Linked DNA regions of Mus musculus. The protein of the gene in region 3 interacts with the protein of the main gene of each other region in a pairwise test. Links are inferred from orthologs where the notes say so. Each region holds a gene or a part of one and is shown on either strand. Other genes may lie near its edges.

The links.
Region 1: the proteins of Rundc3a (region 3) and Rap2a interact in binary tests that used the Homo sapiens proteins (3 or more experiments, as listed by UniProt). The link is inferred for Mus musculus from reciprocal best matches to the Homo sapiens genes RUNDC3A and RAP2A.
Region 2: the proteins of Rundc3a (region 3) and Eif3e interact in binary tests that used the Homo sapiens proteins (3 or more experiments, as listed by UniProt). The two-hybrid records come from large-scale screens. The link is inferred for Mus musculus from reciprocal best matches to the Homo sapiens genes RUNDC3A and EIF3E.

The regions. Positions count from the first base shown.
Region 1 is NC_000080.6:120,477,318-120,481,408, forward strand, and holds the start of Rap2a (ras-related protein Rap-2a), read left to right. Parts: upstream 1-1,143; 5' UTR 1,144-1,409; coding exon 1,410-1,723; intron 1,724-4,091. UniProt on the Homo sapiens protein: Small GTP-binding protein which cycles between a GDP-bound inactive and a GTP-bound active form. In its active form interacts with and regulates several effectors including MAP4K4, MINK1 and TNIK.
Region 2 is NC_000081.6:43,269,172-43,272,819, reverse strand, and holds part of Eif3e (eukaryotic translation initiation factor 3 subunit E), read left to right. Parts: intron 1-501; coding exon 502-544; intron 545-1,836; coding exon 1,837-1,941; intron 1,942-3,648. UniProt on the Homo sapiens protein: Component of the eukaryotic translation initiation factor 3 (eIF-3) complex, which is required for several steps in the initiation of protein synthesis.
Region 3 is NC_000077.6:102,399,680-102,403,154, reverse strand, and holds the end of Rundc3a (RUN domain-containing protein 3A), read right to left. Parts: coding exon 3,375-3,475; intron 3,268-3,374; coding exon 3,110-3,267; intron 2,519-3,109; coding exon of another isoform or gene 2,495-2,518; coding exon 2,357-2,494; intron 2,262-2,356; coding exon 2,155-2,261; coding exon of another isoform or gene 2,102-2,154; exon of another isoform or gene 1,767-2,101; coding exon of another isoform or gene 1,747-1,766; exon of another isoform or gene 1,175-1,746; coding exon 1,032-1,174; 3' UTR 600-1,031; downstream 1-599. UniProt on the Homo sapiens protein: May act as an effector of RAP2A in neuronal cells.

The DNA.
Region 1 (4,091 bases), on a different chromosome or scaffold from region 3:
TCCATGCCCATCTCCAGGCAGAATGCCACGGAGGCGACGTTAGAACAGAACTCATCCCTCTTGTCTGCCAACGCAACCCGCTCCGGTGCCAGAACACCAGGGGGTCGGGCGCTCGAACCCTGCCCCTCCCAGTTCCCCAGCAGCCCTGCACTGTCTCCACAGTGCAGGTTTGATTGGCTCCGCCCAGCCCTCTGTCACTCCTCAGTTGGCCTACGATTGGGTACCAGGCCGTGCGCAAGCGCAAACTCTCAGCCCCTCCAGGCCCCGGAGGGGAGTTGGCTCAGTCTATCACTGGGTCTTACACCAATTGGTTAGCAAGATGAGACGCCTTTTCATTGGTCAAGAGTGGTAGTCTAGAGTCCGGACTCACAATCTGATTGGCTACAGTGAATCCGAGCTTCCGCGCAGACACCCCCGCAGGCTGTTGCTGAGATGTTCTGGGGTCTCCCGACAGTGGGGGGCGGATCCGAGCTCCAGGTTTTCCAGGCGCCCAAGGCTGTCTACCAGCCCGGGGGGAGGAGCTCGGCTTACGTCAAACTCGACAAGGGCGGGGCTAGAGGGCGGGCCGGTGACGTCATCGGGCGCGGACCGGGTTTGCGTGTAGCCTGGGCGCCACGGACTAGCCGAGCTTCGATTTGCTTGTGTAACTCATGGCGGCGGCCCTTAAGGCTCACGTCGTTACGTATAACGGGATCAAGCCAAAGCTCTCCGAAGGCTGACAGGCTGAGTCATGTATGTCAGCCATAGGCCGGCCCGTCCTGAGGTCCCCAAGCACGGTGCGCACGGCTTCCTAAGCCCACGGTCCCTCCACCGTCACCTCCCGCAAACCCCCGAGCGTGGGCGTCTGACGTTGCCTGCCTTCGGGCGGAGGAGAGCGCGCAGACGCAGTACGGAGGCCGGTCAGGCTGGGTGTTGCCGGGTGTCGCGGAAGCCGGTCTTCTCTGGAGCGCGCGGACGGTCGCTAGGCGACGGCGCGAGGGGCGGGCTTTCTTATAGACCCCTCCCACCCGGCTGGCTCCGCCCCGGGCAGCGCTGCGGCTGGGCTCGGGCGCGCGCTCCAGCGCTGGGGAAGCGGCGGCGGCGGCGGCAGCAGCGGCGGCGGGAGCTGGGCGTGGAGGCGCGAGGGGCGGGGCGGGCGGCATTGCGGGCCCGCGGTTCGGGCGGCTCCGGCTCGAGGTCGAGCTCTGTTGCTGCTCTCGCCCTCGGGGCTGCATCGTCCTCCCGCTTGGCCCGCTCACAGGGCCGCGCACGACTCGTTCAGCTGCAGCCCCGCTGCCGGCGCCCGGGGCGCTGCCGCGGCCGTGAGCCGACGAGTCCGTAAGGGCGGCGGGGCCGCGGGGTCGGGGCGCGGCGCGCGGGCGCAGGTCTATGTCGCGGGCGGCGGCGGCGGCGGCGGCCGCGCAGGGACGATGCGCGAGTACAAAGTGGTGGTGCTGGGCTCGGGCGGGGTAGGCAAATCCGCCCTGACCGTGCAGTTCGTGACCGGCACCTTCATTGAGAAATACGACCCCACCATCGAGGACTTCTACCGCAAGGAGATCGAGGTGGACTCCTCGCCTTCGGTGCTGGAGATCCTGGACACCGCGGGCACCGAGCAGTTCGCGTCCATGCGGGACCTGTACATCAAGAACGGCCAGGGCTTCATCCTGGTCTACAGCTTGGTCAACCAGCAGAGCTTCCAAGACATCAAGCCCATGCGGGACCAGATCATCCGCGTGAAGCGGTGAGCAGAGCGGGGCACACGGGGCTCGGTGGCTGCGGCGATCCCGGTCCTTGGCTTGCCCGGGCTACACCACCTCCTCCAGGGGCTCAGATTTGTGGGCTTTGTTTCACAAGTGAAATTGGGCATCCTGTTAACCCTCAGCCCAGCCCTTTGTCTCTAGGACGTTGGTAGCGCTTCTTCGGGACCCTAGAAAGAACAAAGTTTCAAACTTGCAAGGAAAGAAGGGATGAGTAGGTGGGCGCTAGGGAAAGGGGAGCTGTCTTAGTGTAGGCACGCCTGTGAAGAGTGAGCGCGCGCTTAAATGCACCCGTAAGAGGTTTGACAGCCGAAATTTGTACATACATATCTTGTGACAGTGTCAATACTAAGTTAGGGGGGACCTTTCTCGTTGCGGAAAAGATTAAATGTTGCCAGGAGGTTGGCAGAAATGGATTAGTGCAAAACTTTAAAGACACATTGGCAAATAATTTGAAGACCACACAACATTCAGTTGGCTTGGCATATAGAAGCACACTTGTGACATTTACGCGGAGAGCGTGCAGATTCAGTTCTCTTTCTCTCTTAAAAGCTAGCCTCCTCATCCCCCCCCCGCACCCCCCCCCCGAAAAAAAAAAGAACAGGGAAGGAGGCTATTCTTGGAAAACAAACAGAAGTTTAGTCTGAGTTCTGGCTTGTGTATCAGCTAATTTAAAGTTAATGCAAAAAAAAAAAAAAAAAGAAGAAGAAGAAGAAGAAGAAGAAGAAGCAAACAAGCTTTTTCCTGATATAAAGTGTTCAAAGGATGTATTTTTGCATGTGGCTGGTGACCTGAATGCTTTTAGTGTTTGTTCTCTCTTAAGTTGATGCTATGCATTTTCCCCTTAACCTTTTAAATACTGAAAGTCTAACATGTTACTACAGAGTTCTGGCATCATTTTCTAGTTCTTCTTTACTGATAACGCTCCTCTCTGGTCCTTATTAACTAATACTACTGACAGTCTTCCAGGATTATTTTACCTGTAGCTACATTTGAAGTCACCATTGAAGGTTTAGGTAGAAACAATCACACTTATCCATCATTTGGGGTTTATACACTTCAGAGCTCAGAGCAAGTTATTTGTATTCAGGGAGTACTTAAAAATTCCTTCCAAGTGGTGTTTTTTTTTTTTTTTTTTTTTTTTTTTAGTGGTGGGTTTTTAACCCTGTACAGAGGTCAAAGGAAATGCCCTCTCCTCAGTGCCTGCTCCAGCCAGACTAGAAATTTCTGTATTCCCGCATTAAATTCCAAATCACAAAGCAGTGGCTATGATTATGATCTTTTCCCAAAGTTGGTGACACTGGTAGCCTTAACTTCTCTAGTGTTATTTTTTAGAAATGTGTTTCCTTGTGTGGTACACACGTGTGGGTGTGTTAATACGTTTGTCTCGAAGTTGTTTACAGATCATGATGTAAGTGCTGCAGTTGTCCCACCTTCACACCCAGTGCATGCCCACACGTCTGTGCTAAGATCCCCAATGGCATGGGCCACATCATGTCGGAGTTTCTGTTGGCTTCGTGTAGCTCACGTTTCTCAGTTATAATGATGGGCCAGTTTATTTACTAGAGCAGTCCGTTGGCATCTCAACCCAGGACAACAGACTGAGATTGGGATTCTATTCACCCAGGGTCACTAGTTGCAGCTCTTGATGTAAGAAGAGCAGTGATGAGCTGAGTTGAGTTGAGCAACTTCCTGTGGGGTAAATGTTGTGTCATTAGAGCCTCTCTGGACCCACTTTCTTTTTTTCTTCTTTTCTTTTCTTTTCTTTTTTTTCTTTTTTTTTTTTTTTTTTTTTTTTTTTTGAGACAGGTTCTCTATGTTGGCCTGGCTGTCCTGGAACTCACCATTCATACCAGGCTGACCTCAAATCCATAGAGATTCTCCTGCCTCTGCCATGGGGCACTGAGATTAAAAGGTCCGTGTCCAGCTTGGGCCCCTACTTCTATGTCCTGGTTTTTGTACCTCACCCTAAGTTCATCATTTGCCTTCCAGGTCCGGGTGAGCTGTAGGTTATTCCCATTGTACAGCAGTGTATAAGGCAATACTCAAACCTGCTGTGGGGGCACGCAACTCCTCTCAAGAGAAAGCATGGGTTTACATTAGTGCATTTTCTACTCTTTGGGGGACCAGTTCCTTAACTACTCAGTTGCTATAGGAAGTATTCAGTAATTCCATCTTCTGCCCATTGTGTGCCAGCTGTCTGCTTTACATATGACATACAAGAGCTTTGGGGCGGTTAGTTACAGTGCCATAGTGCAGTTGGCATAACTGAAAGGCTATGGCTTGATAACTCACCAATTACTGATAAAGAGAATTTTTAAGATGTCTGAGTCCATATAGCCTCTTCTACAC
Region 2 (3,648 bases), on a different chromosome or scaffold from region 3:
TTAGGTTGTCAGTGAAGTTATGCTTCCAAAGCATGCCTCAGGGCACTGCATATTCCCACATGAAGAAGCCTAAGAAGGCCCTTTCCCTTTTGAGAACGTGAAAATCAGCATCTTGCCTTCCCCTCAGTGTTCCTGCTGTACTTGTCTCTTACGAGTTCATTAGGATCTTGAGTTAATGCAAAACTAACTTAGGAAAGTTAAGTTGGGCTATTTGGTAGCTTGATAGGGTTAGTAATTGCGTGCACTTTGTAAACTTTGTGACGGGCATCTTCTAAATTTGGTCTTAAGTCAGAGCTTAGGAAATGTGAAAGAAAATTCAAGTTTGTAGTAACCTTATATCAAAATTTGACATGTGCTATTTGTTTTATTCTACAAGTTATATTTCTGCTTAAGTATTAAGAGATTTAAAGTGACTTAGGATGATAACTTAGAAGATAGAGCTGCACATTTTGTGTTCTTCAGTGAATAAAGCATAATAACACTCACTTTTCCAATATTAAGGGATGGCAGGATGTTATTTGACTACCTGGCAGACAAACATGGGGTAAGTTGTTTTTGTTGTTGTTGTTGTTGTTGTTTTTAAACATTAAAAAATGGTTATGTTCTGAAAAGTTCATTAGAGACTAATGCTGTGCATAAATAGTTTGGCATAAGAATATAATTCTTAGATTAACTTAACTAAATACAACTGGTATGGTTTTAAATGTAGTTTTTTTGTTTTTTTTTTTTTAAACCTCAGCCGTGATATCTCATAATCCTCTTTTGATAGTAAATCCCCACAGTGCTTGTCAGTTTGTGAATCATATAACAGTAGCTCATGTTAGCGGCAACAGAAGACCAAAACCTAGAGAAGGTGGGGGAGGGGGGTTCCCTCTCTCTTTTTTTTTTTTCCTCCCTCTTCCTGAGCCTCCAGGACTCTGAGATTTTTGAGAACAGGATATTGCTTTGTAGGGCAAACTGTCTCCAAATTTGTGGTGCTCCTGCTGCCCGCTTTCTGGCTTTAGGGTTATATGCATGTTTCTAACTCACGATTTTTTTCCATGTGGGTCTACTTAAATAAGTGAAGGCGAACTAGAATTGAGTTAAATTTTTTCTTTTTACAGTAGAGAACATTTTGGCTACCTTAGGGAATGCAGTAGCCCTTGACATTTTCATAGCTTTCATTAATTTACAAATTTATAAGTAAATGTTACTTATTTTTTTGTACACATCTTTGATTTCTCTTTTGTTAGCATAGAGAATTTCACATTGTATATAATCAAACTTAACTTTTAAGTCTTAGCACCCACTTAATAATTATGTAGATGGCTTGCTGACCAGCACATAATACTCTGTGGTTTGCTACATAATATTTAGTAGTTTGTTGTTTGAAGTCTTAAGTTTTTTTTAGATTTCTTCAGTTTGATTTTATTTACATATTAATTCTCAAAGTTGATATAATTTTGAGGCTAATTTTCATAAAAGAGAGGTTTATTGTATGTGTTCTTTGTGTAAGACCACAAAAAACCTTGGAGGTGTATGTGTGCGTGGTAGTTGACTAGATTAGTCAACTTAGTAGACTTAGAGCAGACTTCAGTTACAGTCCAAGCTTGTTTGGTAGTCAAATTGCTATCAGCACACTTCAGAACTCTTGAGATCAAAACTAAGCATTAAATTGACAGTTCCACGTGTGTGTATGTGCACATACACAGTCATACATATATACAATCAAGTGTTATGGTATTATTGGTGATAATTGTTGGGAGACTTTAAAAGAATTGACTTGTTCACTCATCTAGAAGAGTTAAATGAACAGAATTATATAACTTAACTGTAGAAGGTTTTTTTTCCCTCCAGTTTAGGCAAGAGTACTTAGATACACTCTACAGATACGCAAAATTCCAGTATGAGTGTGGAAATTACTCTGGAGCTGCAGAGTATCTTTACTTCTTTAGAGTTTTGGTAAGTACCTGTTTGTTGTTTATTTATTTGGTTTCCTTTTCCTCTTACCTTCTACTTCCAGAACTTTGATTTGAGTCTGTCTATTAAATTTTACAACAGTCATTTGCAAAGGAGAAAAGTAATTTAGGTTAAAAAAAACTAGGGGCAGTGGCTTTGCAACAAAAGCCAAATAGGATACCTTGTTAAGGGCCTCAAAATGTATTGAGAGGGCTGTGAAGTGGAACAGAGTCACATACTCATACAGCACAAACCTGGCAACCAGTTTGATCCTCAGAAACCACTTCAGGGTGCAGAGAACCAACTCTACAAAGTTGTCCTCTGAGTTCCGCACTTAGGCTACGGCAGCCTGCATCCATGCACAAAAGTGTTTTTAAATACAACTTAAAAACAAATTTAGAAAGACTTTAATTTGACCTTGAAATCCAAAAATAGGAAGCTATTAATTTATAATTATATGAATTGTAGTATTAGCAGAATTCTGTCTTATAATGGATTTTTGTGGTGCCGTAAGCAGAATGAGTGACTATAGTTTAGTGCATGTTCCTAGTTCTGAACAACTGGAATCCTGTTTTAAGATGCTATATTTTAATACTGACCTAATTTATATTTACCCACATTCCCATTAATAGAAAGTGAGGAGAAGTGAGGTGTGGAGACACTCCAGCCGTGTTACTAACTGGCAGTGCAGGCTTTTGGGTCACTGTCTGGATTTGGTACTTTTACGGAGTGGAGAGAAAGGTGTATGAAGTCTGATTGAAACTCAGGCCTTCAACTTAACAACTTTTCTTGTTCTGTCTTCTTTCTAGGTAATTACAGTAGTAGGTACTTTCTAAAGTAATCAAAAGGCTCTTACCTAGCCTTTTATCTGAGAAGTTATAATTTATTACTCACTGGATTGATGAACAAGTTCGCAAAGCCAGTGGTTTGTCTACTTTATCCTAGAAGTTAAAGTCTGGTTAAGACAGGGACTTTCTGTCTTCCAATCTTACATTTCTTTATTTTCTGTTGCTTTTTTTCCTTTAGTTTTCTATGTCACAAAGAAAACCACTTGGACCATGTTGTTTTTGGTGCCTTCAGTGAAATCCAGCTTACCTGTTTGGGGTAGTTCAAAGGGCGGATCGATGTTACTCATCTCCTACACTAAAATTGCACAGGGAACTTTTTAATACTACCCACCATCCTTCCTTCAAGGAAACAGATGTTTTCTCTTTATTCCTAAGCTAGATTTAAAACATTATTTTTCTTTTCCCCTCATTTGCAATGAGTTTTTCACTTATGGATAAGCTGTGATTTGCTTGCCAGTGTACTGAAGGTAATCATTGATGTTAAACTTGGAGTGACTTATCAGAAAATTCCATCGCTTTTACCTTGGATGTTACCAGAGATTTAGGAGAGCAAAAGTTGATTACTTTGAGAATATAAACAGCTTAAGCTAGGATTGTAAAGCCAGAAGCCTGGTATGATTACAGGTACATGAAAAGAGCCGGTTATTCATATCATTTGTTACTGCTGGGAGTGAATTTTGAGAATGAAGATTTAGTGTCATGTTAGAGTCCCAGCACAGTAAATTTATTGTTGCTGGTCAGTGAGTGAACGTGCCATTTTCCTAAGACATGGAAACTTAAGGTAACTGCTGGAAATCCAGATATTGAAACTCTTCTAGTATATCCACGCTTGAAAGCAGGTTGCTATGAAGAGCCAACTGTA
Region 3 (3,475 bases):
TCTTCTGTGCACAGCTGTGGCTGTAGTGTCTTGGGGTACGTGTGCACGTTTGGGGGTCCCCAGTCAGACACAGTGGCCCACACCTGTTATTCCTTCACTTGGGAGGCTGAGGCAGGAGGAGTGCCTCCAATACCAAGCCAGCCAGGACTACACAGCCAAATTCTATCTTCACAAAAAAAAAAAAAACCAACAGCAACAAAAAGCTGGCATCTACAGGTATGGTGGCCCCGAGAGTTCATGGCGAGCAGATCTGAAGCCTGCCTGGCCTACATACTGAGCTCCAGGCCATCCAGAGACCTTGTCTTAAAAGCTTCCCACCTTAGGGGGTACCCAGACAGATCTGGGTGAAAGGTGCCTGTCTGGTAGGTAGTAAGGGCCTTTCATGTGGGGCCCACTGTGTTGGGGTGAGAGCAAGTCTTAGAAGGGTCAGATCCAGAAAGCACCTGCAGATGTACAGAATCCGGAGCCCCCTCCCACTCAGCCCACACCCTGAATGATGGCCCCATGTGGTCCCCCAGGGCACATCCTCCTGGCATGTGTACCTTGGTTAACAGACCTGTTAGGGAGCCCTTACCCCACTCTCCAACAGATGAAACCACTTCAGTCCTCTGGTTTTTATTTGCCTAATCTCTCCCCACATAGGTACCAAGGAAGGGTGACTTCAGAGGGTACACAGGGTTAGACCAGAGGCAGGGCAGCAGGAATGCCAGGGCTGGACCACCTGCTCCTGAGGCAGGTGTGGAAGAAATCAGAAGGAACCAGGCAGCCTTCAGAGCCACCAGAATGGAGCGCTGTCCCCAGGGGACTGAGGATCTGTAATCTGGGTGTCCCTCGTGGCCCCACCACTTCCCATGCAGCTCCTGCCTCCTTGGCAGGAAGCTGAAGCAGGAAAGAGGCTTGGGTCATCTTTCCCTAGAGACCCGAGGCTAGGTTGGTGGTGTTCTTGAAGGGTGGCCTGGGTTGGGGGACTCATAAGGTGGCAGTTGTCCATGGCCCCTGGCAGGTGGGGCTGGTGTTGCCCTTGGTGCTCCTCAGCTGGGGCTGAGCGCCGGGCTGCCCTCAGGGCTGTCGCTCACCAGGCATTCGTTGGATTTGAAGCTTGCCAGGGACTTGCAGCTGGGGATGGAGGCCAGGGAGCCGCAGAGGCCCAGCATGGAGGGCGTGGGGTCCTTCCCTAGGGAGAGAGGGCGGGTAAGGCCGGGCCAACCAGCCTGTGTTGTATGTGGGGAGGAGGTCCTCGTGGGTGGGCAGAAGGGGGGCAGTTCTCCAGTCACCCCCAGGGGACGTGGCCTCTTCTGGAGCATCTGTCATTTTTAATTAAACCTTGATTGAACATTCCTTGCACAGGGCTTGAGACACTGTGTCATAAACCATCAGTTTATGTCTCTGTCTCCCCAAGGTTCAGCCTTTCTTTGTCCATTTATTAAGCACACAGTGAGCATTTGCTCTATTTCACACTCTGGGGATACAGAGAATGGACAAGACATGGTCCCTGCCCTCACGGAGCTCACAGTCTGGTGGGGAGACACACACAGTCACAAACACAGTGTGGTGAGTTACATGTCCAAAGCCTGCCTCGTCTCAAAGTCGAGTTATCCAATACAATATAATATATATCTATGTATTTAAAAAAAAAAAAGGCAGGAGGTCCAGGCATAGGGGAAGAAACTAGGAAGGGAGTAACCAAGGAGGGGTCAACACAAAATGCATGCGTTGAAGTCCTGGGCATTCGCTCAGAGGGAGCCACTAATTTGGTTCTGAGCTTCCTGGCAGCCAAAGAAAGGGGAAAACATTGGTCAGGCAAGCCGTTCACAGTGTGTGTGTGGGCAGAGCCAGCAACATGTGTCTAGTGTCATGACACTAGAAAGCCGTTGCGCCCTCTCCATACGTGCACTCTGGAGGCTCTTTACCAACATCCCTATTTTACAGATGGGAATCTGAGTCAGCCAAGTGCAGAGATTGACCTCGTTTACAGGTAGAAGAGGTGGGGCCCGAATTTGCACTTTTGTTTTGAAACCTCAAGCCAAGCTCCTTATTGGTGTATAAGTACAGGAAGAGTTGAGAGAATAAGGGGTTCAGCCACGGCCTGACTACAGGGGCCCTATCCCTTTTCTGAAGTGCCAAGGTGGGTGAGTGTGTGTGGGGTGTGCTCACCGATGGGGCCCCAGGGTTCCTCGTCCCTCTTGGCCTCTCCCAGGCGCTGGGAGTCTGAGCTCAGGCTGGCCTCTGCAGACAGCGGCTCCGTGCTCATGAAGCTGTGTCTACAGCAGAACAGAAAAGTGCAGGGAGTGACCCGCAGCTCCAGGCCCCACTTCCTGGGACTGGGGTATGGGGACAGCACTTGGTTGAGGCTTACCTCCGATATAGCTTGGAGTTGCTGGCACCCTCGGGCCTATGAAGTGTGCTCAGGGAGGGCCACTGGTTGACTAGGGATGTGGTGAGCTCCTTGGAACCCTGGGCCAGGGGGGCATGGTCACCGGGGATCAGACCTGTCCTGGGAGGGGGAGGGGGATCAGGCCTGGCTGGGAGAGGGAAGCGAGACTCAGCAAAGGTAGGGGCAGGGCTTAGGACGGAAACTTGAGTGGTAAAAATGGGGATCTGTGCTGCTCAGGGAGGATGGCCCAAGTCTGGAATTATGGCACTAGGATCTAAGGCCATGTTTGTGGTGGCCAGGATTAGTGCACTCATGATGGAGTTTTTAGAAGTCAGTTGGGGTGATGTAGGGAGGAGAATGGAAAGGGTGGGTACTCTTGAAGGGGTGGGATTCGTGTTAGCTAGCTGGGTCAGGTTCAGGGAGGAAATGTTCCAGATTGGGGGTGGGGGTGTGTGTGTGATGCCTATCAGAGGCCTTAATAATGGGGGTGGCACACGATAAAACTGAAGGCTGCTAAAGTCGTGTGAGGAATGGCTGGTGTCTCTAGCTGATGGGTATTGGAAGCTGCGGGGGATCTTAATGTGGGGGGCAGGTAATGTTTGGCAACCTCCACGGGATCTTGGGAAAGGGGATGGGATGGGTAGGCTGATGCGAATTGGGTGTCATCAGAAAAGCGATCCCAGCCAATGGAGTCATGTTGGGGTTCCCAGGGGTCAGGGCGGGAGGCGGGCTCACAGCTGCTCCTGCAGCTCCAGGATCACGCCTTCCAGCTCCCGCTTCTCACGCTGATTTTGTGCCGCGGCCTCCTCCAGCTGCAGCTGCAGCCGCCGGTTCTCCGCCTCCAAGTCCTTCAGCTGCGACTCGCGCAGCCGCACCAGCTCCTCCAGGTATCCCTGCGGGGCGCCGGCTCAGCCCGGACGCCCAAAGGGGTCCCAGCTGGAGTCCCAGCCCCAGGCCCTGCCCCCACCGCGCCCAGCTCCCCGCGCCTCGCCCCGCGCACCTTCTGTGCGTAGACAATGCGAAACTTCTGTTCCATCTTGTGCCACTTGTTGTACCAACTGTCTTCATCGGTGACGAGAGGCAGGTAGGGGTGCTCTGGTG